Arabidopsis thaliana: one gene and its partners. The protein of the gene in region 3 interacts with the protein of the main gene of each other region in a pairwise test. Each region holds a gene or a part of one and is shown on either strand. Other genes may lie near its edges. The genes, in order: DDL, MYB118 and GRP2B.

Evidence for each region.
Region 1: the proteins of GRP2B (region 3) and DDL interact in a two-hybrid assay, tested with the Arabidopsis thaliana proteins (one large-scale study listed by BioGRID).
Region 2: the proteins of GRP2B (region 3) and MYB118 interact in a two-hybrid assay, tested with the Arabidopsis thaliana proteins (one large-scale study listed by BioGRID).

What each region holds. Positions count from the first base shown.
Region 1 is NC_003074.8:7,173,903-7,180,075, forward strand, and holds DDL (SMAD/FHA domain-containing protein), read right to left. Parts: upstream 4,119-6,173; 5' UTR 3,970-4,118; intron 3,733-3,969; 5' UTR 3,699-3,732; coding exon 3,324-3,698; intron 2,864-3,323; coding exon 2,832-2,863; intron 2,753-2,831; coding exon 2,686-2,752; intron 2,575-2,685; coding exon 2,517-2,574; intron 2,165-2,516; coding exon 2,072-2,164; intron 1,550-2,071; coding exon 1,435-1,549; intron 1,321-1,434; coding exon 1,273-1,320; intron 1,182-1,272; coding exon 1,136-1,181; intron 1,048-1,135; coding exon 977-1,047; intron 833-976; coding exon 793-832; 3' UTR 534-792; downstream 1-533. Other genes in the region: AT3G20555 (uncharacterized protein), read right to left, coding at 4,298-4,489, 4,572-4,712. UniProt on the Arabidopsis thaliana protein: Involved in the microRNA (miRNA) and short interfering RNA (siRNA) biogenesis. May facilitate DCL1 to access or recognize primary miRNAs. Binds RNA non-specifically.
Region 2 is NC_003074.8:10,287,962-10,292,809, reverse strand, and holds MYB118 (myb domain protein 118), read left to right. Parts: upstream 1-1,875; 5' UTR 1,876-2,097; coding exon 2,098-2,241; intron 2,242-2,349; coding exon 2,350-2,798; intron 2,799-2,904; coding exon 2,905-3,031; intron 3,032-3,449; coding exon 3,450-4,043; 3' UTR 4,044-4,207; downstream 4,208-4,848. UniProt on the Arabidopsis thaliana protein: Transcription activator that recognizes the motif 5'-TAACGG-3' in the promoter of endosperm-induced genes.
Region 3 is NC_003071.7:9,036,230-9,039,721, reverse strand, and holds GRP2B (glycine-rich protein 2B), read left to right. Parts: upstream 1-1,939; 5' UTR 1,940-2,133; coding exon 2,134-2,739; 3' UTR 2,740-2,956; downstream 2,957-3,492. Other genes in the region: LAX2 (uncharacterized protein), read right to left, coding at 3,283-3,492. UniProt on the Arabidopsis thaliana protein: Chaperone that binds to and unwinds RNA and both single-stranded DNA and double-stranded DNA (ssDNA and dsDNA DNA).

The DNA of each region.
Region 1 (6,173 bases), on a different chromosome or scaffold from region 3:
TGATGATTTTGACAGAGACGACGTCGAACAGGTTCGTGTTCACTTCAAGCTTCTAGAGTCAAATATGTCAATCTTTGTTTTGTTACAAGGGCGCTTATAAAAGCTTCCGTACGTGGTTGTGTCTGAGTTTGTGAATGAAGAAAACAGAGGAAATGTTAGATTTATTATTGTCGTTTCTGTGTTATTTGCAGTATTTTAACTACATGGGGATACTTGCGGTGGAAGGTACCTAAGATAAGATGCACCATGTCGACATCCTTTTAATGCTAGCAGTCTCGGAGGGAGACAAGCCTAAAATTGAAGAGCTTCTCAAACGCTGACTACACGGTTAAGGATGCTGACGGCAGAACCACTCTTGACTGAGCAAGCAGGGAGGAGATCCGTGACTTGATCCTTGAATCCCTCACTAAAGGCTTGACAAATAAGTAGTTTTCAATCGCAGAGTTAGCTTTATCTTACTAAGAAAGTGATGTCCGTTTTGGTAACTCTAGTTGAAATCTCAGTCGTCTCCATGTTTCTACGTTAAGTTAGGTCGAAACCCTCAGGGAGCGACAATTTTAAAGTAGAGATTGATCTTATACAGTTATACCAAAAGTTAACCTTTTTCTCTTACCAATCGTTCATCATCATTTATTATATAACAAGCAAGCAAAAGATTTCTAAATGATGTCTGAGATTATCACCAGCACGGTAGAAAGCATACATGAAGCAGCTCAAACATCTCTAAAAACCCTGAGAAACGCAACTATCTAATCTTGTGATTTACTCGTTTCTGCTTGACTCTGATTTCATTCACTCGGCAGAATTCTCGTGCAACAGTACGTACTCTCGGCTGCAACCAAAAGAACAAAACATGTCAAGAACAGAAGAAAGTAGATGTTAACTGCACAGCAAGCAAAGATTAATCACAGAGAATAGGCACGGGGTATGATTCATAATGGGAAACCAGAACTAGAATGTGTCTTCATTAGAATACCTGCTGTTGCCAAACTTTATGGTGTCTTTCTCAAAAAGCTCATAATATCTTTGTGGCTCAATGGGACTTTCCTGAAAAAGTAAAAGAAGTTCTAATCACAAACGTTTGAATTAACCATGATAAAGAAGCACATAAGAAGGAATGTAATTGAGCACTTACATTGATATAAGTTTTGTTGGTACTACCAAGATCCATTATGTAAGGCCTGGAAAGTGACATTAAGGGAAATTAAAATTTAGCTTAAAGCCAGAAGAGGTACAAATTTTAAGCAAAATGAAAGAGCAGATAGGTTTTACTTCACTTGCTTCCCCATCATACCATCTGGTTTCTCCTTTTCCATTTCCCTGAGAAAAGCACATTCACAGTGACATAAATATTAAACTAAAAACCTTATTCTCATTAAATCTATTGTCATAGATATTACTACTTAAAAGGAGAAATACATGTCAGAACCCTACCGGTACTGAATGACAGCATGCTGCTTGCTGCAAGATGGGTGATCCGTAGGAATGTCGGCAATCCTTCTTTCACGTCCAAAGAGGTAGCAGCTTTGGCGGTGAAGGCAGAGTGGCTCTGTTAGTCCAACACATTTCACATGCACAGAAACATACATCAAGAAAACTGATTCAGGGCATTCAGAATTATTAAGCAAACAGAAATGGGAAACAAAATGTAAAATCTTATATACAATGTTCAGGGGTTCAAAGTAAGAATGACACGGGAAGCCACAGTCACAAACATATCAGATCAAAGGAGCTATTTTTCCTCTAAGAGTCATTAACATTCATAATAAGATTCATTCTAAGAAAATTGACAAGTTCTAAGAAGTATCAAGCTATAGTTTGGCTACTATCGGTAATCACGCTGTTATCTGGACACTAAACCATCAATGACCACAGTTTTCAAGTTTACATGGCTAGAGTGCATCAAAATTTCTTGAGTATCTCTTTCATTGCCACTACATGCTTTACTGCATATTTTGTGGACAAAAAATTGACGTTCACCACAGTAAGATAGTTAAGTGAAATACATAGAAGACAAATGAACCACTACTTAGACAGATGGATAGAGATGTGGAAGACGTCAAAGACTCACCATTCAGTGGTTCACCATCCTTAAAAACATACAGTCTCCATCGTTCGCTGGGTTTTCTAGCCTCTGGGGGCTCATTGAAGAGGAGTGTGATACCTGCAAAGGATTCACTCAGTCAAGGAAGCTAAGCATGCCTATGGTGAAATTTAATGCGAGAAACCACCGTCTCCATTCCTAGGAGCAAAAGCGGATTGGCAGTCAAAAGATATCTGCTGATAGCAGATGCTTATATATTGAAGCTTCTAGTCTCATTAGATATTGACCAAAGAAAGCTTTTACCCAGTGACAGACACGTACGCATACAAAATTAAGTAAATATGACCTGACAACAAAGGCAGATGTTTCGCAGTTCAAACATGCAATGAAAACACTATGGCAAAAGTTTCTAGCACAAGGTAATGGTAACAGGTGATATTCTTAAATGAAATGGACGGATCAGAAGTTTCACCTCTGTATCTGTTAGTTTCTTCAGCAAGTTTCCCTGATAGCTCAAATGATGGTTCTTCCTACAAGATATATCAAAATTAGATTTGAAGCGTTAGCATTTATGCATGGATGAGCTAAGCGAGCTCAAAATGACATTGGAAATTGAAAATCAATAGGGCTTGATATAATACCTTTTTCTTCGCTGCCAGAGCCTCTTCAACTGCTCTCATTCTCGCGACTGAATCTTCCTCGACATTTCTGTTAACGAAAACCCATAACATGGTTAAAAGAAAGACTGAAAAATTGTAACGGCTAATCTAATAAGAAGAAAACTCACGGCTCCTCGCTGCCCCCTCTTGCATTAGACCCCTGAAAAGACAAAAGGCGATAAAAATGACTGAAGAAGTAACAAAAATCTGTGGCTCGCAGAAAATGATAATTTGCAGAAAGCAACCATAATCTATATAATGAGCTTTTACTAAAAAGAGAGAAACATGAGAAGTGATGTTACTGGACATGCTGAAGGGAAACAAAGAGACTATCTTTCTTAAGTCCTTTAGCAACAGAGTAAGCAAAAAATGGCTGGCTGCAGGTTCTAGTTATAGACTCACGAGATGGATAAGCTAGATTACAGGATTCCAATTATTTATTATGTGACGAAACAAGCAGCAGAGGCTAACCTTTTCTAGCATACATCAGAGCTAAACAATTTCAATCACATTTATCTTTTCAAGCAGAATACGAATATGCACAAGTAAAACCCAAAACAAAAAAAAAAACACTTCTGAGATTAAGAACATATCCAAGCTAAAGAAAGAAGCAGAAATACCTCATCATGCCTTGAGGCAATAGCTCTTTCAGGTGAACGCCTACTACTCCTGTGACTCCTATCTGACGGTGAAGTAGACCTCTCATGTCTTCCTCTAGAGTATCTCTCATCATCTGTTCTTGTCCTTCTCCTTTTTTCAGTATCCTCTCTCCCTGATCGTCTTCTCTTATCCCCAACTTCCCTATCTCTTTCTCCTTCTCCTTTTCTCTCCCTATCCCTATCTCTTCCTATATCTCTATCCCTTTCCCTACTGTTTCTCTTCTCCCTTTCTCTACCATCATCTTCTCTCTCTCTACTTCTCCCAATTTCCTTCTCTCCTCGAGCTCTTCTCAGTCTCTTCGTACGTGGTGAAGGAGACCTAGAACTAGGAGCCATTATTGGAGTCAGGGTCGTTTTCTCTCTTCTTTGCCTTTGGAAAGATCACAAATTGAAACCAGGGTCAGAAGGAAAAGGCATGTGAGCTCCAGATAACACAGTAAACCCTAATTCCCAAATGCATAGAAACTAGAAATGGAGCAAAAGCCCTAAACCAAAAAACGTAAGCTACAGATTTCAAATACTAAATTCAGAAGTTCCGGGCATAGTCTAGGGTTGCAAGAATCGTTAAGAGAAAAAATCGCTGCATAACGAGAAAGAAAAATTTTACCTGGTGGCCGGAACTGTGACTACTTCGGCGGAGAGAAGAGGAGAGAGTGAATAATAATAATCGCAGAGATAAAAAGAATCAGAGCCAAAACGAGAAGAATCATTTATTTGGCCTCTTTTGCAAATAAATGGAAACTGAGGGGTTCAATATCAAACAAATTGTAGACGGTATGGTAAAACTTCCATTAGTTGACACGTGTCATATCTTGTTTGGTAGAAAGGATATGTATAATTAGGGCAGAAGCCGCTTGTAACGTCGTACCCTTGTACTTCCTTCGAGATTTTTGTTTCTTCGTCCTAGTTTGCAACAAAGATTTTATAATTGATCATCAAACAAATCGGTGAGCCTGTAACAAATCGAGTGCACCAGCTTTACCACCAACTTTGATAGGATAGAAGACAAATACAAGATCATAGATATAGTTGAGGTGGATAGCTAAACGACATAAACCATCAGAAGTGACAGTGATCTTGTTCTGATTGTAACAGAGTGCACCAGGTTTACCACCAACTTTGATCCTCTCATGAAGGAACTTGTGGAGAGAAATTTTCAACTTCGAGGAACATATGTCCTGAAATCCCATCTGTAGTTCTCCTTACTACCGATTTGTAGTCGCAACTGTTGGCCTTGAAGCTTATGTGGAAGACAGCATTCATAGACTCGAGCTTTAGAGACGGGTCAGTATGAGTTTCTCGGGTGATGCTTTGGTTTGTCGGGTGATGGCTCATCGAATCCCAAATCATGTCTCCTTGTTTATTTGATGTATCTTTAGTTTCATGTATATACTAGTGTACGCCAATATTATAGACGATTAAAAACTAATTCTTGTTTACGTATGAACAAAACGATATGTACTTTGTCATTATTATATTTTTTGTCAAAGATTGAGAATATTTATTTTTTTCGCATCATAGACACACAAACAAATGTTGTCTAATGATCTACCAGCCGGCTTGTATATCTAATTCAAATATCGGTCATGCATCATGCACTTCATTAGTATCTTATGTTTTGCAAAATACTGGCTAGACTGTCACATATATCAGAATCGGTCACCGTCACCTTCTTCGTTATTGTCATACGGTTTCACTATGACAAAGTCCAAATTAGGTCAAATTTTAAGCGAACATACGTAGCCTCTTACGTCATAGATTGCTGATGAAAAAGAGGCAAATTATTATAACAACCATCAAAGATTCGGTACTAACTTTACAAATTCACACAATTCGTATCTCACAATCTAAAAGTGCAATATGTCGTACATGTTTTGTAAGCTAGACAATAGTAAAATAATTATCCTGCCGGACTATAAAGGTTCGAGAACGTGGACCGACTATATTTATATATCAATTAGCTATTTGTGGTGTTAGCCTAATGTTGCCTTCATCACGTTTTCTGTTTTTTTGTTGAAGGATTTTCAAATAGATGAATTGACTATCATCACCTTGTCACGTTATAAACCATATATATTATCGTTAAACACTTAGTAGCAGTTCCCCACGAATTACATGTCTCCATCATTGACAAATTTATATTTTTGTTTGTAAGAACACTTTTTCCTTCCTCAACAAATTCTTGTACTTAATACAGATATATACTTATAAATGTTACATCAAACGCTAGATAACGGAGAATATAAGCTAAAATGAAATTAATATATCTTGTTTCAGCTTCTATCGAAATTATTTTCATTAATGGACAATATAAAATTTGATCCTTATCTACTGTTTCTGTGAATTTGTGATTATCATCAGGCAAATGTATCATTAGGCAAATGTTTTTATCTAAATTAACACTTTTATTGGAAAACTACCAAAATACATTTAGGTTCACCCATCAAAAGTACTTTATGTTGTTATGTTATATATTGTGTGCTAACTAAAAAGATTACAATTTAGCAAATCTCAAGTTGATGTGTACATTTATAATCTCCACTACAACAAGAAGGTGATCCACTTCTCTTGTATATCTTTATTTGTTCTTGCACGTACATAAAGAAATCAAACTGTTCAACTGCCATTTAGAATATTAAAACCAACAAAATAATATTATAACAAGTAAATACTTAAACAATAATAAGAACAAAGGGCCAAAATCGTGCCAAACCTACAACATTCCTGACCTCTGCCTCCCCCACTATATAGAGGTCACATTTGAGAGAATTAGGCAAATAAAAATCTAAGAACCATTTTAATAGCTTCTCA
Region 2 (4,848 bases), on a different chromosome or scaffold from region 3:
CCCATTTGCTAAACTAAAACATGTCGTAGTTGGTCACCTTACATTTAACAGCTAAAGTGACTCCACCAAACCACTCAACACACATTTGATCACTAGACCTCGGTAAATCTTTCTAAATTTTAATACACAAAACACAAACACCATTCAAAAAGACATTACATCTAAGATTTGCTCTCTCTTATTGTTTTTTAAGAAAGACTGTTTCAACACCTTAAAACCATTATATGCTCACTAAAGGAGAATTGAGCCTATAATCACCTCTTGACCTAAGATGACTCTTATATTACCCATGTGGTATTTTCTTATTCTGACCATTTGAAAAAGTATTCTCCTTTTCTACACCAGAGGCCTCGCCCTTGTAGAACATCCTTCACATACGGGCGGACTGTGCAACACCGATGCAACAATACAAAAGCCTAATTAACAATAAAGAAGGGGATAAACGTGAAAAAGTTCTCTCCTTTGAAAAAAAAATACGGTGGAAAAGATCTCTGATGGCCACTGACATGATGAATTTTGGTAACGAGGTTACAAATTCCAACTAGTTAAAAACTGTTATTAAAAGAGTTGAACCAATGTAATTTGGTAGCGAGTTTGTTTTTGGTATAAAACTGCACGGGTTCAAATCATATCATCGTTATTGTTATGGTATTTACTATTACCTATAAGGCTTACAAAATTGATTTTTCTATCTAATACTGTTATTTGGTTTCTAAGGTGTACTTCCATGCTTGAATTTTTAAAGTAGAGTAATTTCAAATTTATCTACATGTCTTGAGTTTCTTGTATTGAAAAAATTGACTTTTATTTTTGGAAACCTATGGAATTCTTTAGATATTCTTAAATTTTTATTAAAAAATATTTTCCACCTGAAAGAATTATTGTTTTGCAATATCTTTCAACCGTTTTTCCAAATACTTCAAGATAATTGAGTCATTACTCTTTTAACATTCAATATCATCACATTAAATATTCTTTTATTTTTGGAAATGTCAAATTTATTAATCAACAAAAAAATATATTTTCAAGTGGAAGGGAATAAAAATCAAAACCATAGCGGCATACCCTAAAGATACCCTCAAACTTGTGAAGATATTTTGTAACTCAATTTTTTTTTTCTACTACACAAATCACATATATTATTTAGATAAAGGGTTTTGTGGAACATAAAATTCATCTATGGAATTTTTATTTCTAATAGACGATATGTTGAATATCATTTTAAATTGTTAAAGTTGGAAATATATGATATTTTTTTCTTCTCAACATACATTAATTAATTAAAATTTTCAAAAAACCAAACCAAATTTATAGAGAAATGATATTTATTTTTAAATACTTTAATTTTTTTTAAAGTAACTACCTATTGCTAAAAAGTGAAGATATAAATTAAACTAAATGTGTAGTATCATTAATTTATATATATACTTTTCATCATCTTAGATTTCTTGGTCAATGTTTTAGAGTTGGACCTTGTGGGACCAACTAATTTGTGGACCCTATGCTGATACGAACCATTAGATTGACATTGCAACACCAAAAAGATAATCACACGGCTAGTAGAAATTATAATGCTTACATGTTTTACACTTGTCACAAATATGCCCGAGAATTTTCCGCAACAATACAAACTACCTTATAACGACTTCATGATTATTACATGACAAATTTTAGTGACCAATTTACCCTTGGACTATCATTTTGTTTTTAAAGTAACTTTTTAACTCACCCAAGTTATCAAAGGTTAGATCTTTGCCAACTCATCGCTCTTCACAGTTGTTCTTGTTTATAAAGTCTTAATATTTTACCCTTACCTTTACTTCTCCCTGTTTTTCCTCTTCCTTAAATTCATCTTCAAGCTTGAATTTCATTTCACTAATCAATTACTTTCCTCGTTATCCTTTTTTGCAGTCAAGTTAAATTGCTCTCTTTCAAGACTTGTGTTCTTTAAACCAAAAAAAAAAAAAAAGTATCTGTGTTCATCACCAACTCATTCTTCTTTCAGATCTAGGGTTTCATGCTTCACTCAATTTTTTTTTGTTTAGGTAGTTCCATCTTCTAAACGTTGTATTTTTTTTTTTTTGCCATCATAATCATATGGAGTTCGAGTCAGTGTTCAAAATGCATTATCCGTATCTCGCAGCCGTTATCTACGATGATAGCTCCACTTTAAAAGATTTTCATCCATCTCTTACCGATGATTTTTCTTGTGTACACAATGTGCATCACAAACCATCGATGGTAAACTCTAATCCTGATCTTTTTTTCACAAGAATCTCACATTAAAGATCTCAATCCTATCACTTTACTCAAAATCTTAATATTGTTCCCTATCACTTTGATATGCAGCCTCACACATATGAAATACCATCAAAAGAAACCATTAGGGGCATCACTCCTTCTCCATGCACTGAAGCTTTCGAGGCATGTTTTCATGGCACATCCAACGACCATGTTTTTTTTGGCATGGCCTATACCACCCCACCAACTATTGAACCCAACGTTTCACATGTCTCACATGACAATACTATGTGGGAAAACGATCAAAACCAAGGATTCATCTTTGGAACCGAGTCAACCCTCAATCAAGCCATGGCGGACTCTAATCAATTCAATATGCCAAAACCACTCTTGAGCGCAAACGAAGACACCATCATGAATCGACGTCAAAATAACCAGGTAATGATCAAGACCGAGCAGATCAAGAAGAAGAACAAGAGATTTCAGATGAGGAGGATATGTAAACCCACAAAAAAAGCTAGCATCATCAAAGGACAATGGACTCCTGAAGAAGACAAGTAAATTCAACATCTAATTTTTTGGAATTCTCATAAATAATTTTCTTAATCTAGTATGATATTGTTTTTAATATTAATATTTTCTAATGATTCTACCTATATTTAGGTTATTGGTGCAGCTAGTGGACCTTCACGGAACTAAAAAATGGTCTCAGATTGCTAAGATGCTTCAAGGACGAGTTGGAAAACAGTGCAGAGAAAGGTGGCATAACCATCTCCGTCCCGATATCAAGGTCTCTTATTTTATTTTATTTTCATTTTCTTATTTTCATAGGAGAAACAAAAACAAAATATCATCTTCGATACTTTCAAATTCATTACATGATACATTGAGAATCTTCTAAGAGAATATTAACAAACTTTTTTCACACTTGTCAACATGTATACGGTTTTATTTCATGCATGAATACTTTAAACTTTTGTTTGTATATACATATATGTCTATGACAATTCTTTAAGGCATTTTGTCTTCTTGTTGCGGACAAAACTTCACAATTGGTAAGACATTTAAACTAAAGTCATTGTCACTTGGATTCTCTCATATAATTCAACAAACATAAAAGAGAAAAAAACATATAAAAAATAAAAATATTTGTTTAATATTGTATGTATTATTTACATATAAAGCATATTTTATGTGGTATGTTACAGAAAGATGGATGGACTGAAGAAGAGGATATAATACTGATAAAAGCCCATAAGGAGATTGGGAACAGATGGGCTGAGATAGCTCGAAAACTCCCGGGACGCACTGAAAATACGATCAAGAACCATTGGAACGCGACTAAACGTCGACAACACTCGAGGAGGACTAAAGGAAAAGATGAAATTTCCCTTTCACTTGGTAGCAACACTCTTCAGAACTACATTAGGTCTGTTACCTACAATGATGATCCTTTCATGACCGCAAATGCAAACGCAAACATTGGTCCAAGAAACATGAGAGGTAAAGGTAAGAATGTAATGGTTGCGGTCTCGGAGTATGATGAGGGTGAATGTAAGTATATTGTGGATGGTGTGAATAACTTGGGTTTAGAAGATGGAAGGATCAAGATGCCGTCATTGGCGGCTATGTCGGCCTCCGGATCAGCGTCTACTTCTGGTTCTGCGTCTGGTTCTGGAAGTGGTGTGACCATGGAGATTGATGAGCCGATGACTGATAGCTGGATGGTGATGCATGGATGTGATGAAGTTATGATGAACGAGATTGCTTTGCTGGAGATGATTGCTCATGGTCGTCTTTAGACCGTGCAATATAAACAAGTCGAACTTGATTATATCTACCTATATAATTATGCTATTTATGAAATTATGTTTGTGCTTTTAATTGAAGAATTGGACATGTAATATATATTGTGGTTTAATTGAAGGTTTCTTTTGGACTAAACAAAAATTGAAGGTTTTCTTGCTTTATCAGATTTTTTTTTTGTTATTCTCTAATTTCATTTTAATTAAGAATCTATATATATTGTTAAATTTTCTGTTATACTATATGAATGGTAATTGCGTTTGCGGTTAGGAGAAGACGACCATTAGGTCCACAACAAGTACATTTAGTCACTAAAGAATAATTTTATATCGACTATGCTAAAGAAAAAAAGTACTAGTTGTTTACAAAATATCTGGTTAGTATGATGTAATATGGGATAATATGTGTATGGTCCGTTGTATTGTAATTTTCTGGAATTTGTTACCTTACCGTCATAATGACTATATGGTCCGTCGTATTGTAATACCAGAAATTTTAGGCAAAACACAAACAAAAAAAAACGTAATGAGAGTTTTGTATACATTATATTTTGGTTTTCCATTTGTTTTGTATATCACCATTCGAAAAGTCATACATAACTAAAAGAAAAATACATAAAACTTTTGGGATCTATATTCATTAATGATATTTTGACTAACTACATAGAAAATTGAGATCTTAACCAAATACAATAAACCATTACTTCTTATTCTTTTTGTGCAATTCCTCCAACAAAAAAAGAAAAAAAACTTAACAATTTTAGTCTTAACTACAAATAGTTAAAAATAATAATGGGCTTGT
Region 3 (3,492 bases):
TGTATTTTAATAGTATACGTGTTTACGAATTATTGATTATTTTCTAAAACTAATCAATATTCGAAGAGAACTCTCATGACAAAAAAAAAGGTTCTAATTATTGAAGTTATATAGCTAATTTACCAACATAAAAGATTTAGCAACGACTGTAAAAGTGTAAAGTATATGTGTAGAGATACCATCTTTTTCTTCGACAATGACTGTAAAATCTGTTAATTTTTTTGTTTTAGTTTGTCCATATTTCTTAGTTGGAAATTAGAAAAATGGGAAAAACCCACGCTTGCAGTCTATATATTTCAATGGTTGTTTTTCAAAATAAAAATTAGTAGCCGAGTTAGCTAGTATCATTAGTGTGAAAGCAAATGTTAAAAATTAGATATTTTTCTACTATATTTTCTTTTTTAGTTTTTGGTTTGCGATCTACTATTATTCCGAGATGATAATTAAGGTATTAAACCATCTCCATCAATGATTTTTTATTGAAAAACTGTTTAATATAAAAATAAAATATAATCAAAAAGTAAGAGAGAGAGTAAAATTAGTCTCTCAAGTGAAAAACTCTGAAAAACCCATAAGAACACTTGTATATCATCTATTGGTCAAATATTATTTTATTATTAAAATTTAATTATAGAACTAATATTTATTAAAATACTAATATATTTTTTTTTAAAAACCAATAAGGTATCTCACTGATGGAGATGCCTTTAGAACCTACCAATTAAATTTTTACATGTGAGTCATTTAGATGATTCTAAAAGAGTTAGACATCTTTAATATACAATGTCATAATATCAATATGGTTTTCCATTCGCAAGTAAAAAGTTAAACATTATCACACACTTACATGAAACAAACGTTGATTCCATGACCTTCATGTTAGATAAAAACTCGAAGATCCCATAACTAAAACTCCGAATAAAAATGTGTTGTTCGATAAGTTGCGTTGAGGTTCAAATAATAATAAATTAAATAAATATATACAAAATTTTCGTTACTATCGAAACTGTATCACACTTTGCGGTTTTGTCATTATTCAGAGTCAAAACATCTTTACAAACTCTTGGGATTCAAATCATTCATACCTTCATAAATTTAAAAGAGGCACATTTAAAGCTCAATCACTTCTTTAAATATAGGTAGATAGAATCATAATTGATACAGATAAACTTAGTGGCCAAACTACTATTAGTAACCAAACTCATCTTTTCATTGAATTATTTTGGGTAAAACTAAAGATTTCAAAATTGGATACATGTAGTATTTTTTTTGTTTGGAAAGTGTAAATGTGCATTGACAGGTCCCATCGTCATGTCATTTGGACTATGGACGTTACGCTTTTGACCACTCTTTTGAGATTTTGACCAAAATAAATACATACAAAAAAACTTTGGGGCTACTCTGTGAAAATCCACTATTTATTTGTACGAGAGCGTAATAAAATAAAAATAAAAAAAGAAACGGCACGCAGTTTGCGTTCCCAAAAATATGGGACGACTAGTCAAAATATCTGCTTACGTCCGTCAACTTTAATGTTGACTGAACCAGAATAATATTAAATTATTAAATATATAAACTTGTCTTTTTCCCATTGTACCCTTCACTCTGTTAGATCTTTTCGGGAGAAGAAGAAGATAAGCTTTGAATAACTTTCAACTCTTAGATTTGAATCTAACGGCTGAGAAGCCTCCTGCAAAGCATCCCCAACCGTCCAGATCAAAGCGGGCCCATCGCTCCCTTTAGTTTCCCGAAAAGGAAAAAATAATACAATCTCGAACATTAGCCTGGCCCATTTTTGTAATTATATTATTTCCTTTTTAGTTTTACTATTCAAACAAATTCGTATTTCATTAAGTAAAATTTCTAATTGTACTGGAAAAAGTCAAGGAATTATGCAGAAAAATAGAAATAGCCAATTTATAAGATGGAAAATACGTATTAAAAATGGGAATATGAAAGAAAAAAGAGTAGAGAATATTGGAATAAAAAGTAAATAGTGACGTGGCGGGATACCCTATGCCTTTACACACATATCTCGCAGATATATAAACAGCGTCTGCTTCACGCCAAAGGAGAGAGAGAGAGATCTGATCGGTGATTTACTTTTAGTTCGTCGGAGAGATTTTGATCAGAATGAGCGGAGGAGGAGACGTGAACATGAGTGGTGGAGACAGACGCAAGGGAACGGTGAAGTGGTTTGATACACAGAAGGGGTTTGGTTTCATCACACCTAGCGACGGTGGTGACGATCTCTTCGTTCACCAGTCTTCCATCAGATCTGAAGGATTTCGTAGCCTCGCAGCTGAGGAATCTGTTGAGTTCGACGTTGAGGTTGACAACTCCGGCCGTCCCAAGGCTATTGAAGTGTCTGGACCCGACGGTGCTCCCGTTCAGGGTAACAGCGGTGGTGGTGGTTCATCTGGTGGACGCGGTGGTTTTGGCGGCGGTGGTGGAAGAGGAGGGGGACGTGGTGGAGGAAGCTACGGAGGAGGTTATGGTGGAAGAGGAAGCGGTGGCCGTGGAGGAGGTGGTGGTGATAATTCTTGCTTTAAGTGCGGTGAACCAGGTCACATGGCGAGAGAATGCTCTCAAGGTGGTGGAGGATACAGCGGAGGCGGGGGTGGTGGAAGGTACGGGTCTGGCGGCGGCGGAGGAGGAGGTGGTGGTGGCTTAAGCTGCTACAGCTGTGGAGAGTCTGGGCACTTTGCAAGGGATTGCACTAGCGGTGGTGCTCGTTGAAGCAAACCAGACTGTGAAGAAGGGGTAAATCAGTCATCGATCCCTCTTCTCCGTGACTTCTATCAAATTATTATCTATCTTTTGTTATTCGACTCTCTTCAATGTTGTTTTCGGAATTTATTAATTAGGACTTGTGGTTGTTATGGTTATGGTTCCTTGTGATTTGAGAAAGAAACTGGATTGGTTTTAATTGCATGTTTATCATAACTTTTGCTCATCTTCTTCCTCTACTTCAAGCCTTCATACAATCTTTTAACCATAACTTCCGAACTAATCCTTGAAATTTGGAAATGATTGTTCTTGATGAAAGATATGGCATTAACTCCTAAAGTTTTTTTTTTTTTTCTTTAATTCCCAAACATGAAATACAATAAAAACAGACCAACCAACTTTAGATGCTAAACAAACACCCAAACACACTACGGGCTTGGTAGATCTAAGAAAAACCCAAATCTCGTCTTTTTCTGATCCGTGGAAAAACGCCAACTTTCGTGGCAGCTAGGGACACTTTTGGGCCGGTACTAAAGATTTGATGCTTAAAATTCAAAGGCCGTGAGTGTGATTGAAGTGAGGATGGCTGATTGGAGGAGGTGAGACCATAACCGGTGGTGGGCATTGGTAGCATTTGGTGAAGAGGCCAAAGGTGTCAATCTGGTGTACAAAATTGATCATACTAGCCCAACCACCGAACCCGAATCCAACAATGAACACCCACACAACTATGAAGGCATTGATCGTGAATGCCCCAGTCCA